Linked DNA regions of Oryctolagus cuniculus. The protein of the gene in region 3 purifies or fractionates together with the protein of the main gene of each other region. This does not show direct contact. Links are inferred from orthologs where the notes say so. Each region holds a gene or a part of one and is shown on either strand. Other genes may lie near its edges.

Region 1 (3,641 bases), on a different chromosome or scaffold from region 3:
AGACAGGCAGGCACTGAGACTTACCTGGGGGAGAAATGGTGTAACACAGTTGCTTACTTTTTAGACGTGTGAACCTTGACTTACGATTGCATGGTGGATTTTTTTTTTCTTTGACAGCCACACTGAGGAGAAGACTCAATGGGAGCATCCGAAAACTGGAAAAAGAAAACGCGTAGCAGGAGGTTTGTATGTTGTTGTGATAGAGCAGAGTCTTGTGTTTGAAACATGAGTTAGATAGGGAAGATGTACGAGGCAGGGAGTGGTGGGTCACTGTGTCAGTCGGGGAAGGCTGTCGGGTAGAGAACCCTACAGGAACTGGGCTCCTGCTCTGAGAGCTTGTGAGGTTTGGCAAGGGGGTGCTGAGGTGGTGCCATGGAGTGAGGATGACTTTCTACCTGAGCACAAAAGAATTACAGTAATTCGGGCTCTTGACTCACAGTTTACTAAGTTTTGCCATAGCTGTGCTGTTGGTGAAGTTATCCTTGGCTTGTGGCGTGGAGGAAGTCGAGGGTCTAGCTGGAGACAGTTTGCACATAGGAATACAAAGGAAGTGCTCTATTGCATTGTGTGAGGCGTCACGGGTCAGCCTAAGAAAGATGGCGGCTGCCTGCCGTACGAAGAGACACATTCTGTGGGCTCAGTTCAGGGAGTATTCATGATGGTTTGGCGTCAAGTAAGATTGACAGCAAGAGCAGCAGCTGGGGGGAGCAATCAGAACTAACCAGGAAAGAAACGGGTTTTGGCTAAAATAAGAGACGGGGAGGCGGAGCCTGGCTGTGGGTGATGGACCCTTAGCAGCTGCCTCCATTGGAACGTGTGACCGAGATGGGTTGAGGCGACCGTTGGTTGGGAAGGATGGACCCAGGGAGCAGGGGTTGGAGAGGGGCCTCTGGTCCTGGCCTGGGGGCTGGGGCTCCATTCACCTGGCCGCACTTCGACCTGTCTGTCTACCCTGTGTTTCAGATTTGCCGTATGGATGGGAACAAGAAACCGATGAGAACGGACAAGTGTTTTTTGTTGAGTAAGTGCCTATGTAGATAGAATTCTTGACCATTTTTTATTACATGTATCTCACATTGTAGAAAAATACAAAGTAGTGCATGCCTGTAATCTTAGCAGCGGGAGTAACTGCTTTGAACGATTTCTGGATTTATTCTTTGAATATATTTTCTGTGCACATGCTTTATTTTTTAAAGAAGTGGGAAATACACTATCTGAACTATTTAGTAACCTGCTTTCCCAAATACTGTAGTGTGAGCATTTTCTCATATCTTGGTTTGTTAGGAAGATGATACTTCAGTGGCTCTTGAGTCTTAACGTTTTATAGATACAATTGATCAGTGTCTATTGGGCATGGAGGTTAAAGTCCTGCTATTAGGAGTCTATGGCTGTAAGTAATGCTTTGAGGATGCTTATCTGTAAAACCTTTTCACACATCTCTGATTGCATCCTTAGAATAAATTCCAGTAATAGCAATTGTAACCACCTATACACGGCATAAGGGAGGTGTAGTTCTTTTTTTTTTTTTTTTTTTTTTTTTTTTGACAGGCAGAGTGGACACAGAGAGAGACAGAGAGAAAGGTCTTCCTTTTCTGTTGGTTTACCCCCCAGTGGCCCCTGCGGCCGGTGCACCATGCCTATCCGAAGCCAGGAGCCAGATGCTTCTCCTGGTCTCTCATGCGGGCTCAGGGCCCAAGCACTTGGGCCATCCTCCATTGCACTCCTGGGCCACAGCAGAGAGCTGGACTAGAAGAGGAGCAACCGGGACAGAATCCAGTGCCCCGACCAGGACTAGAACCCGGGGTGCTGGCGCTGCAGGCGGAGGATTAGCCTAGTGAGCTGTGGCGTTGGCCGGAGGTGTGGTTCTGATGACTTTTTTTTTTTTTTTTTTTTGCAGTATGAGCTCATGAGCACCACAGTACTCTGTGGATAGTATTCGTTATGGTCCCTGGTTACTTGCTGATGAGTGTCCAGGGTCCCACGGCTCCTCATGACAGACCAGGGTTTGAGCCCAGCAATTGCGTGAGGTTCTGCTCTCTGGACCACATGAGTTAAGAAGGGAATGCGTGTTTCATGGTGGTCAATATTTCAGTCAGAGGTTGGCATATTTGGTAGGACTGGGATTCGTTGGTTAATAGAAGTTGATTGAAGCAGGATTTTTTTGAAAGTATATATAATATTAACATTTAATATTTGATTCAAGTTTATTAGGCCTTTGGTGACAGGATAGGCCCACTCTTGGAATGAGAGTCTGTTCCTTGGGTCGTAGTATGGCCCTCCTTTCCCATGCATTCTCCTAGTATATGATCTGCAGTTTCTGCTTTTGCCCTCTTTAAAGTTGAGGAAAAATTTACATTTCAAAGAATCTGAATGCTATATCTTTCTAGAGTTTTTAAATTTTAAGCTTTTTCACTGAACTGAATTGAACCAAAACTTTATTTAAAAAATACATAGTTGAAGGGCAGAGCAACAGGAGAGAGAGCCAGAGCCAGTGCCAGTGCCAGAGAGAGAGAGATCTTTGACCCACTGGTTCACTCTCCTAATGACTGCAACAGCCAGAGCTGAGCCAGGCCAAAGTTAGGAGCCTGGAACTCCATCCTGGTCTCCTACATGGTAGGCAGGGGCCCAAGCATTGGCTGCCTTCCCAGATGCATTAGTAGGGAGCTGGATTGGAAGTAGAACAGCCTGGAATTGAACTGTTGCTCCAAAAGCTGGTCCCTCAATTTTTTTTTATTTTGGTAGTTGTGGTTGAGGCTCTGCAGAACATTCAGTGGTATTTTCATAGACTGACAGTTTGTTTACAGTCCACATGTTAACAGTCCACATGGTAATGGTTCATTAAATAGTGTAGTTACAGTAACAAGTTCAAATGGCACAGGTAGTTTTTGAATAAACCTGAATGCTTGATGGGCCTGCAATGTTGGGAGCAACTGGGCCCTGGCTTTTTTTTTTTTTTCTCCATTTTGTGAAAAGATTTATTTATTTGAGACAGAGAGGCAGAGGCAGAGAGAAAGAGAGATCTTCCGTCTGCTGGTTCACTCCCTGAATGGCCATTATGCTGGAGTTGGACTGATCCGAAGCCAGGAGCTTCTTTTGGGTCTCCTACGCGGGTGCTTGGGCCCAAGGACTTAGATCATCTTCCACTGCTTTCCCAGGCCATAGCAGAGATATGGGTCAAAAGTAGCAGCCTGGCAGCTCTCTGCTGTGGCCAGGGAGTGCAGTGGAGGATGGCCCAAGTGTTTGGGCCCTGCACCCCATGGGAGACCAGGAGAAGTACCTGGCTCCTGCCATCGGGTCAGCGCGGTGCGCTGGCCGCAGCACGCCGGCCGCGGCGGCCATTGGAGGGTGAACCAACGGCAAAAGAAGACCTTTCTCTCTGTCTCTCTCTCTCACTGTCCACCACTCTGCCTGTCAAAAAAAAAAAAAAAAAATAGCAGCCTGGACTTGAACCAGTGCCCATATGGGATGCTGGCACTGCAGGAGAAAACTTTTACCCATTATCTTGAGATGAGTCTCTCGACCATCATGGGCAGCCCAGGAAGAAGAGATAGTCTGGCTTGTTGGATAGAGCGGATGTGTGTTGTTGCTTGTTAGTTTGTAAACTCTTTGTGTACCTTGCTGTATACAAGTTTGATTGCTTA
Region 2 (3,641 bases), on a different chromosome or scaffold from region 3:
CTGCTGAGCCAGCAGCCGCGGTGCTCTGGGCTGCCCCGGCCCGGCCCCCGGCCCCAGCCCCGGCCTTCACCTGCCGTGGTGCCCCGGCCTGGCCCCCGGCCCCAGCCCTCACCCACCGCGGTGCCCCGGCCTGGTCCCCGGCCCCGGCCCTCACCCGCCATGGTGCCCCGGCCCGGCCCTCACCCGCCGCGGTGCCCCGGCCCCGGCCCTCACCCACCGCGGTGCCCCGGCCCTCACCCGTCGTTCCAGTGCGGCTTGTGATGCTTCTTCAGCACCTCCATCACCCCATCGAACCACTGCCAGAAGGTGTAGTTCCAGCCGGGCAGGTTCTCCTGCGAGCCGGGAGACCCCGAGTCAGGGCTGGGGCCCGGCCACGGGCGGCCCGGGGTCTCCCTGCCCTCTTGCCCCAAGCCAGGCCTGCTTCCGATTCTTCACCCCTCCCTCTCCCAACCCCAGCACTCCATACACTGACTGGCCCCACTCATCACCAGGGAGCAGAGCCACTCGTCCCACGCTTCTAAGACGACGGGGGTCCCTGACAATCCTCTGGGCAGGAGTCGGAGGTGTAAAAATTTTCCAGGCCAGGGGTGGACATCTGGCACAGCACATGAGAAGCGACCTGGGATGCCTGCATAGCATACTGGGCTGCCAGGGTCCAAGTCCCAGTTCCACTCTGATTCCAGCTGCCCGGCTAATACACGTTCCGGGAGGCAGCAGGTGACGGCCCCAGTACTTGCTTCCCTGTCCCCCATATGGGAGACTCAGACTGAGTTCCAGCCTCCTGGCTTTGGACTGGCCCAGTCCTGGGCATTGCAGGCCTTGGGGAAGTGGACCAGCAAATAGAAGATCTCTCTCTAGCTCTGTCTCTCTGCCTTTCAAGTACATTTTAAAAATAATAACAAAGGAATTGTCCAGGCTGGACAGGTCTCCATCCCTTCACTTTATAGAGGGGCGCAGCTGGGTAAACTGAAGCCCAGAGCACAGAGCTAGGACTAGAGCCCGAGGGTCCAGAACCCAGCTCGAGGTTCCCCAGGTCCTCCTGCTTGGGTTCTCAAGCTGACCATATCGCCTTCCAGCCTCTGCCTGTGTTCCTTGGGGTCCACACCCCCATTTCTCCAGGTGGAAGGAGACAGGGTGGGGACGCCCGACTGCGAGCTGGGGGAGGCAGGACAGGGCGGGTGGTCCCAGGCAGGCCCTCACCCTGTTGAACTGGGACCAGGACACGGACATGCTGCTGTCGTCCTCCAGGTAGGAGACAGGGTGGGGCCGCCTGACCGCGAGGTGGGGGAGGCAGGACAGGGCGGGTGGTCCCAGGCAGGCCCTCACCCTGTTGAACTGGGACCAGGACACGGACATGCTGCTGTAGTCCTCCAGGTGGCCGCTGCTGCTGTTGAACAGCTTCTGTGCCAGGAACACCAGGTTCTCCTTGGTCAGGCCCCGGTTGCTCTGCACCTCGGCCTTGAATTTCATGTTGAGCGCCTCGCACAGCTGCGGCCACAGCACTTTGTCAGGCACGGCGAATGGCACTCTGCCCTGGGAGGAGCGGAGAAAGCAGAGTGGATGGGGCACTTAGGGACATGGAGTGAGCAGGAACATATGTGCACGCACGCCTGAGACACACAGATACACAAGAAAGAGGGGGCCGAGAAAGTTCCAGAAAGTAGGCACAGACCCATGGGGGAAAGGGGGCAAGGCAAAAGAGAGGATGCCGCGTGGGCCCACAGGGCCAGGGGCCCAGGCTGCAGTTAGGGGGCCAAGCCCAAGGCAAAGAAAGATCCCAGGCCAGGGCCCAAGGTCCAAGCCCTCCTGTGCAGAACCTGCAGCTGGAGCCCGAGGGCAGCCCCACTCACCTTGCCCCAGCCCTGCTCTGGGCCTAGGGGAGGGGGCACGGGGTGAGAAGCACCTCGCAGCAGGGGCTCAAGGAGCTGCCCTGACCTTGAGCAGCGTTCTATGGTGTTGGGGGTGGGGAGGGCAAGGCAGGGTCCCCCAGGGGCTCACCGGCTCAGCAAAGGCGTTGTCCCACAGCACAGTGGCCGTGGCGTTGTGGTCCTGGCTGCCGTGGACAATGACAACCACGGGGAGGGACAGCGTCTGTGGGAAAGTGAGGAATGAGCGTGCGGGGGCGTGGCCGCCGTTCCACGCTCTGCTCGGGCAGGACTCCCAGCCCCGGCCGTCACCCACAGAACCAGCTGCAGCACCCGCAAACCAGAGAGCGGAGTGTGGCTCTCTTCAGTGCACCGCCTCTGCTGCGGGCCGGCACAGGGAGCGCAGGGGGTCCCGGGCGCCTCCTCTCAGCGCAGCCAGGTGGCCTCCCACAGGTAACCTGGGCCATGTTGTGGGTGAGCCTCGGGCAGGGGGCAGCCGGGGGTCCTCACCTTCACCTGGAACACAAGCTCATTGCTGCCAACGCTGAACTGCGACTCGAAGAGGACCGTGAACTTCTCCTCCGTCACCGACTCCGCACCCCGGCGGTCCGCACGCTTGATCCTCTTCAGTGACTGCAGGGGCCCATGGAGTCGGGGGAGGGGGGGCAGGGTCAGGAGGGTTCCCCGCTGGGCTGAGCCCCCTCTCCACGGCCAGGCCCAGTCCTTACCATGTTCCTGAAGTGGGCGCTGAGGGTGCCGGTGGCTTGGTGATATTCCATGACGCAACAATTGTTCAGGATCTCGCCACTGCACTCGCTGTGAGCAGAGAGAGCCCCAGGTCCGCATGGCCTGGCAGGGATCCCTGCTCTGGGCAGTGCTGCCACGGCCCCTCCCTGGGCCCCATCACCCCGACAGCACCCAAGGCGAAGGCTCCAAGGGAGAGGGGTGGGCAGAAATCCCTCGGCCACCAAGGTTGACGTGGGGATGTTCAGGACTGCTTGTAGCTTCTGGTGCATTTCAAAGAAAAGCCACGACCCGACCGTGGCCTACAGGAGCCCCAGGATCAAGCCCACCTCCGTGTCACTCAGGAAACACTGGCCATGGCGGCCTTGGCCACCTGCTGTGCACGCCAAGCTCAGCACCTAACCTGGAACTTTAGACTTGGGTATTCACTCCCCCCGTCACCCAAAACACCCCTGCCCGTCCCTTCCCACAGCCCCGCCCCAGTGTGGCTCACGCCTCCCCCACCTGCCCCCATACATCCACACACTAAGATGGCACTGTCTTAGCTCTCTTTCTACAGTCTATCACTTTTCAGCACAAACCTTTTTTTATTTTACTTATTTGAAAGAGAGAAAAAGAGCACAAGATCTCTCATCCGCTGGTTTACTCCCGAAATGTCTCTAACAGCTGGGGTTGGGCCAGGCTGAACCCAGCAGCCAGGAAGTCAATCCAGGTCTCACACATGGATGGCAGGGCCCCAGAACTGGAGCCATCGCCTGCTGCCTCTCAGGGTGACATTAGCAGCAGGAAGCTGGAACCAGGCGAGAAGCTGATTTGTAAACCCGGGCACTGCGGCGTAGGCATTCAGAATGGCATCAGAACCACCGAGCCCGCTGCCTGCCTGCCCCCTCATTTTTAAGGGTGCATTATTCTGTCTCCCCAGCTAACCCGCAAGTTGTAGGAGCACAGCCTCGTGCGTCTCTGTTGTCACACTACCCCCCGATCACACACGGCAGGCACACACTGACCGATTAGGACCGGATGACCCGGGAC
Region 3 (4,316 bases):
CATGTACACAGTTCTGCACAATCAGTTCCATTCTGGTTAGTCGCCATCATCTGCTCTAGGCTTGGTTTCTCCCTGCCCTAGGCTGCTTTTGGGTAAAAAAGCATGCTCAGCTTGTTTTGTCTCTTTGCTGGGCCTAGGAAAGAGAGAGAAGCTTTTTTTTGGGGGGGGGGGTGCGTAGGAAAGAGAAACTCCAGGCTTCTGCTCTTCCTATCTGTTCCAGGGAGATTCTTAAGGGACAGGGCTAGAGATAAAAGATGTGGGAGAGAAAAGGGAAGGTCCCAGTTGATGACAGAAGATACAGGGTGGTTTGATTTTTAAGTTCCCAGGTACTTTTTATTTATATATTTCCTATTTGTAGAGAAACCAAAAAAGGAAAATGATTAGTACGTAGTATGCCTGCGCAAATAGCAAACCCATAACCTACTAACCCCAGGAGATTTTGGCTCCTGTCCTGGGTAGTTTCAGAGCTGTAAGAGGTATGGGGTATGTACGTGGAGAGTCTCCAATTCCAGGATATAGTAATTAGATTCAGAAACCTCTCAGAGAATCCCAAAGCTACCAGTGACCCGGGGATTAGGGAGCCTAACTGGCAGAGAACACGGAAGTGTCTCCAGCTGCGTCTACTACTAGAATAAACCTCATCATTTGAGGTCCATTACATTCTGACATGGCCGCCTTAAATTCTTTCAGACCCAACAGTTCAGGCTTGGAACGTTTTTGAGCCCTTTAAAAGCAAATTAGCAGTTGGGCTAGAATGTGCCTAGAGAGAATGAACCCCAGACAAGTGGTCCAGAGAAAAGGCAGCATGGCCCATGAGAATCTGAAAGTCAATGATGTGGTTCTGCCAATGCAGATTTTTAGTTTGGTTCAGAGTCTTCCCGTTTGGCCGGGTGTAACTGGGGAAGGGGGATGATTACCGCGGAGGACGACCTGGTGTGCTGGGGCTACCAGTTACCGAACTCTCCTGTAAATTACCTTCTAAGCGTGGAGCATGACTGTTTTTTTTTTTTTTGGGGGGGGGGGAGGGTTTGCACATCCTTTTACTGAAGAAAGTTCTGTCTGTGGATGAGCACTGTGGGGCAATGGAGAAAAAAAAAAAATCTGTCCTCTAAGCATCCTAACGGTGGTCTGTCCCCTCGCGGGCCAGCTGTCCCGTCCTCCGCCGGGGCGGGAAGGAGAGTGTTTCGGTCCACGGATTCGGGTGAGCCCTTTAAATCCAGCCTCCCCGCCCCCACCTCCCCGTTGCCTCTCTCTGACAGGTGTTTTCCCAACTCTGGAGGCTGAGGATTTTGGGGAGTGGCTGAGCCAATAAGATCTCCCTTTTTGGGGGGGGGGAAGGGCGTGGCCAGCTGGGTCAGAGCAGGGGCGGGGTTTGTGCCGCTGAGCCGAGCTTGCCTGGTTGCGTGGAGGGTTGTTTTATCCCCCCCCCCCCACCGTCCCCACCGCCCCCCACCTTTTTTTTATTTATTTCGGAGTCTTATTAATTTCTCTGTGGGGCTGCAGCTGGAGACCGCGGAGCGTTGGAAATGACGCTCGGAGCTTTAATTACCGCAGCCGCTGGACAAGTGTGAGGAAAGCTGACAGGAACAAGGACAGGATCGGGGGAGACGCCAGCAGCTCCCCCCGCCTCCCGATTTGGACTGGAGGTGCAAGGAAACTGAAAAGGGAGCCGAACATAGCCCGGCTTGGGGGGGGAGAGGCCGGAAACCTACCGCCTCTTTGCAATCAACTTTTTTTGGAAACCTTTCTCTCCCCTTCCTTTTTATTGTTGACCAACCAGTGAGAGAGAGAAAGTGAAGAGAGAGCGAGAGCGCGAAGCTCCCACGGGGAAAATAGCTGCACAGTCCGCCCGGAGCAGCCCGCGCCACCCGGGAGCGCTCCCCGGCGCGCTCCGCGACGCCCACTCCTCTACGGCCGGCCCGGCCCTGGGCCCGCGGGCGCGGACTCGGTCGCCCGCGCTGGGGAGCCGCTGGACCGCGCGCGCCGCGCCCGCCCCCTCGCGCCCCCACTCGCGTCGGACTGGGGGAATCTCCTCCGCGTGCCCGAAAGGGGCTATGCCAGTTGGACATGTAATTGTCAGCACGGGACCTGAGACTTCCAAAAAATGAAGCTGGCGACAGGACTGTGGGTCTGGGTGAGCCTTCTCGTGGCGGCGGGGACCGTCCAGCCCGGCGCTTCTCAGTCAGGTGGGTCGCGCTCCTTCTCGCGCTCCAGCAGTTGAACCTGTCGCCGCCGCCGCCGCCGGCTAGGCTGCCTCGGTGGCTCCCCTGCCGTCTTTGCCCACCCCGACCCCGGCTCGCCCCCAGGCGCGGAGGGACCCCTGGACTGGGGCCTCTGGCACCGGCTCCCGGTCACCCCTTTCTTTCTCCATCCTAAACTTACCCTGTGTGTATGTGCGCGGGCGCGCAAGTGTTTTATTTATCGTGAAAAATTACTCTGCACCCCATGACCCTTTCCCCCCCTCTCTCCTTAAGCCACCTTCTTTCTCCCTCGCGTGTTTTCCCTGTGCCTAAGCGGGCTCGCTGCTAGTCGCGCCTGTTGTTCGGACGCGGGAGACCCAGACCCTCAGCCAGAGGAGCCCTCCGGTCTCGGACTCTGTGCCCTCAAGGCAACAAGCCGCAAAGGAAGGCGCACCGCAGGAGCCTGGGCAGGGCTGGGGTCCCGGGGTGGTGCTGGCCGGGCTGCTCCGCAGCCCGCGGGCTGTGGAGCGTGCAGCTCCGAGAACCAGGCTGTGCACCTGTGTGTGCTCCCTGTGGCCGCTGCGCCCCCAGTCGCCCGAGGTTTGCGGGGTCAGGCACGACTGGAGCCCAGCCTGGGCAGCCTGGAGAGCGCGGCGGGCGGGCGTGCCTCGGCCCGGGCCTGGAACTGCCAGCCTCCTCGGCTGGCGTCCCGGAGTCCCTCGCCCCATTGACTCGAGGGGTGCTTGCTTGCATGCCTGTCCTATTAAAAAAAATTAAAAGAGGCTTGGCACGTTGAGCTAGGAGCCCGGCCTTCCCGTCGGTGGCTGTGTTTGGCTCCGGGAGGAGTTCTTCCTGTAGTTCAACTTGCTATTGGCCGGACTCCCTCCAACTTCTCTGTTTACTGCCCGGCCGGGCTGCGGAGCCTGCCGGTCGCGCGAATTGATTTAACCCGAGGCGGGCGCGGCGGCTGCGCTCCCGGGCGCGGTCAGTGTTTGCTGGAGAGCTTGAGCCCCAGGTACCTGGACAGGCAAAGGGCTAATTGACCCCGAGGGGCCGCGCAGGGGGCTGGCGCGCCGCAGCGGGCAGGGCTAATGACAGCAGCACCTGCAGGGACAGGGGAGCTCTAAGTTTCCAACACTGGGAGTTTCCTGGGGATGACCTGGGGACTGGAAAGGAATGAGGAGAACCGGTGTCTGACGCGGCCAAGGTGGGGGGTGGTGGTGGTGGTGGCCTCTGGAGAGCCCGGGGGAGATTTCCGGAGCCGTTTGGGGTTGCTGGCGAGAGCGTGGGAGGCAGCTTGAGGAGATAAAGCCCCTGGGAGTGGCGATAGGGCGAGCTTTAGGCCTCCGGAGGGTGTCCTCCTGACCTCGCCAAGAGAACGGCGGCTCGCGGTAGTTTCCCCGCTCCGCCCCCGCCTCCCCCTCGCTGCCTAGTAAATAACAAGTTCCAATCATGGAGCCTTTCAGAATGACCTTCGCCTGGCACATGTGCGCCGTTTGCACCCTCCCAATTACTCCGAAATTCTTCATGCATACCAGGTCCCGCGCTCCAGCCACCTCGGGAATTGCACCGTCTCGAGATTCCAAGCGGCCTCTTAGATACATCCCTTTTTATCTGCCTCCCCACTCCCAGTCCCTTCATATTTTCCCTCAATGGGTTGATTATGCACATTGACCCATTCAAAAACAGTTGCGACCGACAGGCAGGCTGAGGCGGGAGGAATTTCTAGGAGGCGACCTACTGGGGGCTGTCTGGTTCAGCCTCTGCCGCTGGAGGACCCGCTCCCGGTACGCAGCAATTTGGTATTAACTGTGCGGCGCGGGGCTGAGCTATTCCGAAAAGCCCTTTTCAGAATTTCTGCAAGGAATGTAATCCAAATTAGTTCTGCAGCTGTCCTCTTCCTCGTCTCAGGCGACACCAGCTCTTGCCCTCGCTCGTCTCTTCTCCTTTCCCTGGGCGAATTGTCAGACCCACAAGTGAGCCCATTTAGAGCGCGAGGATTAGCGTGCCATTGTTGTTCCGAGTGTGACTCTGTACTTGAAATTCTGGGGGCACAAAGGAGAGCCTCACTTGTTCAGAACACAAAGTGATCCAGATGAAAGGGCCGCACAAAGAAAAGCTCTTGGGTGCATCCCT

The links.
Region 1: the proteins of ERBB4 (region 3) and WWOX purify together in Homo sapiens (affinity purification with western blotting; 4 studies listed by BioGRID). This does not show direct contact. The link is inferred for Oryctolagus cuniculus from reciprocal best matches to the Homo sapiens genes ERBB4 and WWOX.
Region 2: the proteins of ERBB4 (region 3) and signal transducer and activator of transcription 5A purify together in Homo sapiens (affinity purification with western blotting; 3 studies listed by BioGRID, with this or other methods). This does not show direct contact. The link is inferred for Oryctolagus cuniculus from reciprocal best matches to the Homo sapiens genes ERBB4 and STAT5A.

Annotation. Positions count from the first base shown.
Region 1 is NC_091449.1:60,455,348-60,458,988, forward strand, and holds part of WWOX (WW domain-containing oxidoreductase), read left to right. Parts: intron 1-117; coding exon 118-182; intron 183-963; coding exon 964-1,021; intron 1,022-3,641. UniProt on the Homo sapiens protein: Putative oxidoreductase. Acts as a tumor suppressor and plays a role in apoptosis. Required for normal bone development. May function synergistically with p53/TP53 to control genotoxic stress-induced cell death.
Region 2 is NC_091448.1:20,507,727-20,511,367, forward strand, and holds part of signal transducer and activator of transcription 5A, read right to left. Parts: intron 2,682-3,641; coding exon 2,594-2,681; intron 2,499-2,593; coding exon 2,376-2,498; intron 2,092-2,375; coding exon 1,999-2,091; intron 1,534-1,998; coding exon 1,327-1,533; intron 333-1,326; coding exon 238-332; intron 1-237. UniProt on the Homo sapiens protein: Carries out a dual function: signal transduction and activation of transcription. Mediates cellular responses to the cytokine KITLG/SCF and other growth factors. Mediates cellular responses to ERBB4.
Region 3 is NC_091434.1:26,982,536-26,986,851, forward strand, and holds the start of ERBB4 (receptor tyrosine-protein kinase erbB-4), read left to right. Parts: upstream 1-1,419; 5' UTR 1,420-2,104; coding exon 2,105-2,186; intron 2,187-2,193; exon of another isoform or gene 2,194-4,316. UniProt on the Homo sapiens protein: Tyrosine-protein kinase that plays an essential role as cell surface receptor for neuregulins and EGF family members and regulates development of the heart, the central nervous system and the mammary gland, gene transcription, cell proliferation, differentiation, migration and apoptosis.